Linked DNA regions of Sus scrofa. The protein of the gene in region 1 interacts with the protein of each later gene in a biochemical or structural test. Links are inferred from orthologs where the notes say so. Each region holds a gene or a part of one and is shown in the gene's direction. Other genes may lie near its edges.

Region 1 (4,206 bases):
ATCATTTGCCTACCTTGAGGCACACCCTGTACTTGATCTAACTGACCTGGAAATGTCCTGCAGTAGTTGCATTTATAGGTACAGTTCTGATCTAATTACTGTAGCAAGGGGGCATAGTTATTATTGACTTAGGTCAGTGTAGGGCAGCACCCAGAACTCTTTGCAGTCAAACCTACCCAATCCTACAACGAACACTTCAAACAGTTTCCGTGCAGCTCTGCCTCTTATGGTTTTATGTTTGAGTTGGTACCTCTTATGGGTTGGTGGAAGGGCTGTATTTTATCCTATTCATCTTTATATTCCCCTAAAGCTCCTAGCCTTCATTTAATGTCTGTCGAACAATATAAAATGCCACTGAGGTGGAAGTTAAGACCTAAAGAGAATAAACCAAGATTAAATCAACCTAAGACCATAACGTTAATGGTGGAGAACCAGAATCAGAACCTATTCTAGATACTGTTGATTCTCTGAATTAAAATGGGGCATGAGGGTTTAGGGAAGGTCTTCCTGAAGAAATGATACTAAAACTGAGTCCTGAGGGATGACTAGGAGTTAGGCAAAGAGGTAGAGTGGGAAACTCTTCTTGGCCCAGGGATCAACATTAAGTGTCTTAAATGGGAGCCACTTCTCAAAGCACATTTCAACTCTGTCCTTGGTCCAGCGAATTTTTTGACCAGCTTGCCTCAGCATCTTCTCTCATCCTTTGTCAGCACGTCAGGGGTGCTGTGAGAAACTTCCTTCCATCCGCTCTGCCTTTGACATTTCATCTTTCCCAGCTATCTGATTTCCCTGACCCTTCGACTTCCTATCAGGGCCTTTCAAGTTGCTCTCCTATTTCACTTCTCCAACCTCTCTGCCCCAACCCTCTCGACTCTGCAGTCTTTGACATTCAGTCGCCCTTCAAAGTCAGAGAGAACTAGCCAGGTTAGTACTTTGAAGATATTAGCAACCCAAAGAGGTCTCACCAATCCCGCACCATTAGCTCAGAACCAGAGCTTAGTCAACATCCATGGGTTGTTCCACCACAACTACTCTGGGGGATGGCTTTATTTGTGGGTACTCCCCCAGTCCACGCCACCGTGGGAAAAGACACCTCTTCTTTCTCTCCATCACTCCCTCCTACAGGCCCGCCGGTAATGCTGCAGTCGCGACGGCGCTTCAGGTAGTCGGGCTGGGCCTTCGCGTGGGGAAGAGGAGCATCCACGCGCTGAGGCGGGGCACGGAAAGGCTGCGGAAGGCCGACACGCTGAGGGGGAAAGGGGAAGATCCAGGCAAGCCTAACGCAGCTCACTGGGAAGGCGGGCGGAAGACCCGGGCGGAAGGCGGTGGGCCGGTGGGCGGGGCGCCGGGAGGGCGGGGCCGCTTGCGCAGGGGGTGGAGCTCCGGCGCAGGTCACGTGACGCGCCCGGCGGCAGCGGCGGCGGCGGCGGCAGCAGCCGCGGCGTCTTTAGCGGCGCCCAGTGCAGGATGGTGCTGGAGGCGGCGGCGGCGGCCGTGGTGGCGGCGGCTTCGTTGGCGGCAGCGGGAGGGGGTGCTGTGGCGGCAGCGGCGGCGGCGCCCGCGGGTGGTATAAAATGGCGGATTTCGAGGAGTTGAGGGTAAGCGGGGGCGCGGGAGTGGAGTGCGGAGGCCGCGGGGGAGGGGAGGGGAAACCGGGGAGCCGCAGCGTCTCCGGCCGCCACCTTCTTGTTTCGAGGGGACCGGTTGGCGGAGCCCCGGGCCCGGGCCCGCGTCGGAGCGAGAGCGCAAGCGGGCGGGGGAGGGGAGAGAGACGGCGGAGGACGCCCGCGTAGCGCCGGGCCGGCGGGCCTGGGGCCCAGGGTAAGCGGGCCAGTGGGGTCCCGCCAGGGGTCCGCACACCTTGCACGCGGGGGCAGGGGCCCTGGGGAAGGCGCTCCTGGGGACCCGACTTACCGTTTATTTTAGGGGATGAGGTGGGGAGCAGGATTTGCTTTTCCACCTTCGTGAGGGGTGTACGTGTCCCTGGTGATTCCTAAGTCTACGGGCTACTCGGTGGGAGGCTGTTTTCTGAAACGTGAAGTTGCTTTTAGGAATTTTTTCTCATCGATGGCTGATGCTACCGTTCAGTCAGATCTGTCACGAGAAAGGCCCCTTCCTCCCACCAGTGCTTCCTCAACATCATAGAGAGAAGCATGGTCTTTTGGGGACCCTGCCTTCAATAATCGACCTTAAACCTTGCTGTTTTCTTAGTGCTATGGTAAGAAATCGGCAGAAGTCCGTGCTGTCATGAGGTTTGTTTGTGAACTTGTTTTTTGCTCTTGAACAATTTTCCTTCCTAGTCCTAGAACAAGGTCATAACTTTATTGTTGATACCTTTGTATAGTAGAGGTTTGAAATGAGCTGTTGGGGTTAGAACGGAAAAGATATTTTTCCTGGGGCTGATAATCTTCTTCAAAGTCCTCAACTGAGACAAAACTGTCATAAACGAGCCAGAATTTTTATGGATCGCTGAATTACTGGCGACATAAATGGGGTACTTAAGGACGGACACCCTGATTTAAAAAAAGTGTCAAGAGATGAATAGGAACTTGAAATTAAGTTAACCACAACTAATTTGCACAATACAGACATGTTTTAGGGTTACTTTTTCGGAATAAGAAGGAAAGGGGAATCAGGTAAAAGATTCAGTTTATGTTTGTGACTGTTTTTAGGAGAGCGATGAGAAGCGGTGGAAGGATATTGGCTGGTTACCTGGCTGGTATGGTGTACATCAGCAAAAGAATGTATTCATGGTTCTGATCTAAAGGGAAATTGTTTCGGTTTGAATAATGCCTACCTTTCCCCGCCTGCTGTTTCAAAAATTATTTCATTCTCAGTAAAGAGAAAAGCATATTAATGAATTTTATGCCTGTACTAGTTTATATACGGAGGACCCTGATAGTAGGTAAAGAGAGTTCATATTGATAAATGTGAGGGTTTTAGTGTCTTAGCCTCAGCTGTAGAGCTTTTAACACCTGTAGACCTTTTGAAACAACCAGGCCTGAGCCTCACCTGTGTAAGTTCATGCATTAGGTTTACAGTGGGTTGAGAATACTGGTTTGTAGTTAAATTTATTTTTATCTGCAATGTCGTCTTAATTTCTGTGTAGTAACAGATGCATACCACTTTTCCTCCTCTAAGATTATTTTGTTGATGAAAACTTTTCCAAGACCTGTGTTAGACTTTATAAATGTTGTTGGTCAAAGCTTAATAAAAAGTGGAGAATTTATTTGTTGGTTTAGGCCAGAAAGGGCACTCAGTGCTTAAGTTGTAGTGGAACCAGGAACTGGAAAGTGTTTGGAAACCAAGATATATTCTCCCTTTCTCTCTCCCTCCCTTCTCCCTTCTCTTTCCCACCTCCCATTTTGTTTTGTGAGTCAGCTTCATCATCTTTTTCTGTAAGTCAGCTGTCTCTACTTCTCCTTGTATTTATTGGATAAGAGTATGGACTGTGCGAATGCCAGAAGGGTTATCCACCCCAGTCTTTGCCTTAGCTGCTCAGTAGCATCCCCTCCCATCTTTTAGGGCTACACCCCTGCATATGGAGGTTCCCAGGCTAGGGATCGAATCGGAGCCACAGCACAGCCACGGCAACGCCTACACCGCAGCTCAGGGCAACGCCGGATCCTTAACCCACTGAGCGAGGCCAGGGATTGAACCTCATGATTTCTAGTTGGATTCATTTCTGCTGCGCCACCACTGGAACTCCAAGCATCTTCTATATTAAAAGATGTGCTGTATCTCTCTCGCTGTGCCCCACTGCAAAGAGTGATGATGGTGATGGCAGATAGCCATTATAATAAAGTGCTTATTACATGCCTAGTTCTGGTTTAAGCACTTTACATACGTACTTAGTTTGCACAACAGTTCTATGAAAAATTGAGGCGTAGAGGGGTTGAATAACCTGATCTAGACCACACAGCTTGATCCTGGAAGACCTAGGGATTTTTGATCTCAGAGGTCTAGCTTTAAGAGAAAGCACCCCTCAGCATCTATGGTGTACTGCTCTGTTCAGTTTCCTTCAGGTCCACTGTGTGCTCCTATTTATCATCTTGTGAATCTGTGAACTAAATTGAATGATAAGTAAACAACATGCTTCTTATGTGACATGTAATATTATAGGGAAAGCTGGACAACTGACCAAAAATCTAGTTAGAAAGGAAAAGGGGAGGAAACATCAAGGGTTTTCTAAATAGTCTCTGCTTC
Region 2 (4,130 bases), on another chromosome or scaffold:
GAAGCAAGCAGAACCCCGTCAGCAGGGCCTTCAGATGGAAGCCATCTAGTGACCTGGGTTCAAATCCAGACCCTGCCACCTCCTAGTGCGTGACCCTGTGCAACCTTCATTCCCTGACCGGAAGAACAGGGGGCTAAGGTCCCTGCTGCAGAGTGTTGTGAGCCTTGATGCGTGCTTGGGACCACAGCCGGCACACCCGAGGGGTCAGTCCACGTCGGCCACTGCTGGTCCCTTTCCTCTGAGGCATGGGGTGGAGACGGGGAGGGCAGGAAGAGCCAGGGCCTCAGAATCCTGGAGGGCTTCCTGACCAGGGCCCATTCTTCACCACATTTCCCGAGGTTGCCTGAGTGCCCGTTTCAGCCTGTCCTGCTGGGGTTGAGCCCTGGGTTTGTCCCGAGGCAGCAGAGCACACTGGTCAGACACACGGACCACTGCCTGTGCTCACATCCCAGCGGCATTGCTCACCCACGCTAGGACGTCAGGTAACTCAGTTTCCTCACCTGTAAAATGGGCTGATGTAAAGGTCAGGTGCACAGCTTCCAGGTAGGGTAGCAAAGCGGTCCCCACCTGCCCCAGGTGCTCGGCTTCCACTGGCCAAGCTCAGAAGGGGGCTGGACAGGGGGAGAAGAACAAGCAGCCTAGCCCATCACAGAGAGAGGCTTCTGCCTCCCCGTCTCCCTCCCAGAAATGCCATTTATGCCTCCGTCCCCTGGGATCGCAGAGTGGAGGTGGCCGGACCTTGGAGCCTGAGTGGGTTTGCTAAAGGAAGTCATGCCCTGACTCCTTGGTGGACGGAGTGGCCGGGTGGGTCAGCCTCCACCCCTTCCTTCACTCCACTTCGAGGTCCGACACTTGGCTCCGGGCGAAGGCAAGCTGCACCTTCCCCAGTAGTGGGGGCGCCTCCCAAGACACTGTTCTCACTCACGTCCCCTGGAGTGGCTCGCCTGGCTGGCTTTATTTTCCTTTTTTTCCTCTGAGAAACACCGTAACCAGAAAAGAAAAGCAGTGGGTGCACTTAGGCTTGACTGGTGCTGCTGCAGTAGGGGGACCAGTTATGGGGACCAGAGCAGGGGCCGTTCTCAGGCTCCATGATAAAGCGCAAGGCCTCCTGGCCCGGTTCTCTGAGCACCTCGGGGTTCCAGTTTGCCCCCATCGCTGCCCCGTGTGCCCCCTGGGTCCCACCGTCCCCACCCTAGCTGCCCTGCACGCCTCCCGGGTCCCAGCGCGCCCCCCACCCCTCGGGCGGACCCGAGCCCCCGCTGCCTTGGGAACCCCCAACCCCGACGCCGGATTTCGCGGGGCCCCGCCCGGTGACGCATTTCCAACCGCCAGGAACCTCGGCCGGCAGGCCAGGCGCGCGTCCGACGCCCCGGGGTCGCGCCTCGTGCACGCGCGCCCACCACGTGACCCGCGCCGGCCAACCGGCGCGCAGGGATTTGGGGGCAAAGCGCGGCCCCGAGAGCAGTTGCGGCGGGAGAGCGGCGGGCCGAGAGCGTGAGTCGCCCGCCCGGCGCTGCTGCTGCCCCGCCGCCCGCCGCGCGCAGCCATGTCCGAGGAGAAGCCCAAGGTAAGGGCCGTAGGGCGCGGGCCCGTGCTCTGCCTCCAGCCCACGCCGCCGTCGCCGCCGTCCCCACCCCCGCCTGCGCCCCGTGCTGCACCGCCCTCCGACCCGCCGCCGGCCTCTGGGGCCCGGGGTCCGCGGCGCCACCCGGCTTCCCCGGCCCCCTCCCCCGCGCCGCCGGGCTCCGCTCGGCTCCCCTCCCCCGCCCGGCCGCGCGCCCCGCCGCGCGCCCCCTCCCTCCGCCCAGGCCCCTCCCTCCGCCCAGGCCCCTCCCTCCGCCCAGGCCCCTCCCCACGGGGCCCGCCCCGTCCCGAGCCCCGCCCCTCCCAGGCCTCCCCCCCCAAGACACGAGCTCCACCCCCACGGCCCCGCCCCGCCCCCGAAGAGCCCCGCCCCGTTGTCTCGGCGAGTGGCACCCCTATCCTGGACCATCCTGGACCCTCCTGGACCTGACCCTCCTGGCTGGGACCCGCCTGGGTCTCCCCTCGTCCCCCTTTGGGACCGCCCCTCCCCAGAACCTCTTTCCTCTTCGGACTCTCCCCCCGCTGCGCCCCTCATGCCAGGACCGAAGGTCCTGGCCTGCCTGGGCCCTACTGCCCCTCGGAGGGCCTCCTCCTCAGCTCTCACTGCGGAGAGCCCGAGGGGGCGCAGGCTGGGGACAGGGGCTCTGAGAGGCCTGACCTGTCTGGAGGCACGGTCGCCCCCCTGGGCGTGCGCCCACCTCCCCCGTCGTTTACTGTGTGCCCCCTGCCGCCCTTCCCCCAGGCTGTCAGGTCTGCGCCCTTGAGTCTGCTGCGCTGGCCCTTAGCCCTCCCCCTCCTATTAAAGACGGGCTTCTGGACCCTTGGGGTCAGTGTTTTCCAAGTAGCAGATCTGCTGCGAGTTGAACGATGGCGTGCAGGCTTTCTCTGCTGCCAGCCCCGCTGGAGGTTCCCCCCCTGCAGCTGAGGCTGGAGCCCAGGAGGCAGAGCTGGGGTTGGGGTCCAGGGCACGGAACCCCTGGTCACCAAACCCCTGGTCAGAGACCCCCTGGTTGAGCCCCAGGTCGGGAGCCCACTGTGGGGCCTGTGAGAAGAGGTGCCCTCAGGAGCTTCCTCTCTCCGGGTGCAGTTGGAGCTTTGTTTTTTATTCTATTTTATTACTTCTTTTTCTTTTATTTTGGCTGCCCCATGGCACATGCAGTTCCTGTGCCATGGGTTGAATCCCAGCAGAGCTGTGTCCTATGCTACGGCTATGGTAACATTGAACCTTTACCCACTGTGCCTGGTATCGAACTCATGTCCCTCCCTGCCCCTGCAGAGACCCGTCAGTCCCTTTGCGCCACAGCAGGAACTCCTGCCTTTGCTTTTTCCTTGCGGCCAGTTACATTTCTCACTCAGCCTTTGCTAGCGCTCGCGCCCTGGATCCTTTGTTTATTGGAGGCTGAACACAAGCGCCCCTTCTTCATGCTTTCTGGGGGCCTCTTTCTGCAGTTTAAATGCGATGAAATACACATAGATCTCATTCCTTCGGTGTGTTTAAACTTAGCTCTCCCACGTGGTCCAGCCCACAGCCCAATTCAGTTGAATAAACTTGTTTTCACTGCTTTCCAGACAAGGCCTCGTGCCCCACCCCTGCCCACCACAGCCTCGCTGCCTGCCGAGCTCTCCTCTGGGCCTGGGGGTGGTAGGAGGCCCGCTCCAGCCCATCTTGGTGAAAAGAAAACCTTGGGATCCGTTGGGAGGCCAGTTCTGCCTCCCTGGAGAGCACAGGCAGAGGCCTGCTGGTCGGAACTGTGGGTCTTGTCCACCCCCTTTCTTTGCAGTAGTTCACTGGCTTATTGGGAATTCACCAGGGCCGGGCACAGGCCATGTGGTCTCGGTGCCTTCCTCTGCCTGGCCTTCAGCCCCTGCCCTGTCTCTGTCTGCTTTGTGCTCTGGCCCCTGCGTCTCATTGAACACACCAGTACCTTCTCATTAAAAAAGCAATGCATCCTATGTCCACATGCAAAGAGAATAAAGTTGGAGGCATTCCCCTTGTGGTTCAGTGCTAAGGAACCCTGCTAGTACCCATAGGTTTCGGGTTCGATCCCTGGCCTCGCTCGGTGGATTAAGGATGTAGCATTGCTGTGAGCTGTGGTGTAGGCCACAGACGCAGCTTGGATCCTGCCTTGCCATGGCTGTCCTGTTAGGCCGGCAGCTACACCTCCGATTGGACCCCTAGCCCGGGAACCTCCATATGTTGCACATGTGGCCGTAAAAAAAAAAAAGACTGAAGTTGGATTTTTCTTGTCACTATATGCAAAAATTAACTCAAGGTGGACCAAGGACCTAAAACAGTACAACTCTCGGGAGAAAACAGAGGAAAGCTCCATGACATGGGACCTGGCAGTGGCTTCTTGGATGTGACACCAGTGGCACAGGCAGCATGAAGAAAAACAGACAAACTAGACTTCGTGAAAATTGTAAAAATTTTGTACATCAAAAAACACAATGGGAGTTCCCATTGTGGCTCAGTGGTATGAACCCGACTCGTATCCATGAGGACGTGGGTTCGATGCCCGGCCTTGCTCAGTGGTTTAAGGATCTGG

Evidence for each region.
Region 2: the proteins of PIAS2 (region 1) and SUMO3 form a complex in vitro, tested with the Homo sapiens proteins (2 studies listed by BioGRID, with this or other methods). The link is inferred for Sus scrofa from reciprocal best matches to the Homo sapiens genes PIAS2 and SUMO3.

The regions. Positions count from the first base shown.
Region 1 is NC_010443.5:96,542,973-96,547,178, reverse strand, and holds the start of PIAS2 (E3 SUMO-protein ligase PIAS2), read left to right. Parts: upstream 1-1,398; 5' UTR 1,399-1,574; coding exon 1,575-1,598; intron 1,599-4,206. UniProt on the Homo sapiens protein: Functions as an E3-type small ubiquitin-like modifier (SUMO) ligase, stabilizing the interaction between UBE2I and the substrate, and as a SUMO-tethering factor.
Region 2 is NC_010455.5:207,481,556-207,485,685, reverse strand, and holds the start of SUMO3 (small ubiquitin-related modifier 3), read left to right. Parts: upstream 1-1,323; 5' UTR 1,324-1,546; coding exon 1,547-1,567; intron 1,568-4,130. UniProt on the Homo sapiens protein: Ubiquitin-like protein which can be covalently attached to target lysines either as a monomer or as a lysine-linked polymer. Does not seem to be involved in protein degradation and may function as an antagonist of ubiquitin in the degradation process.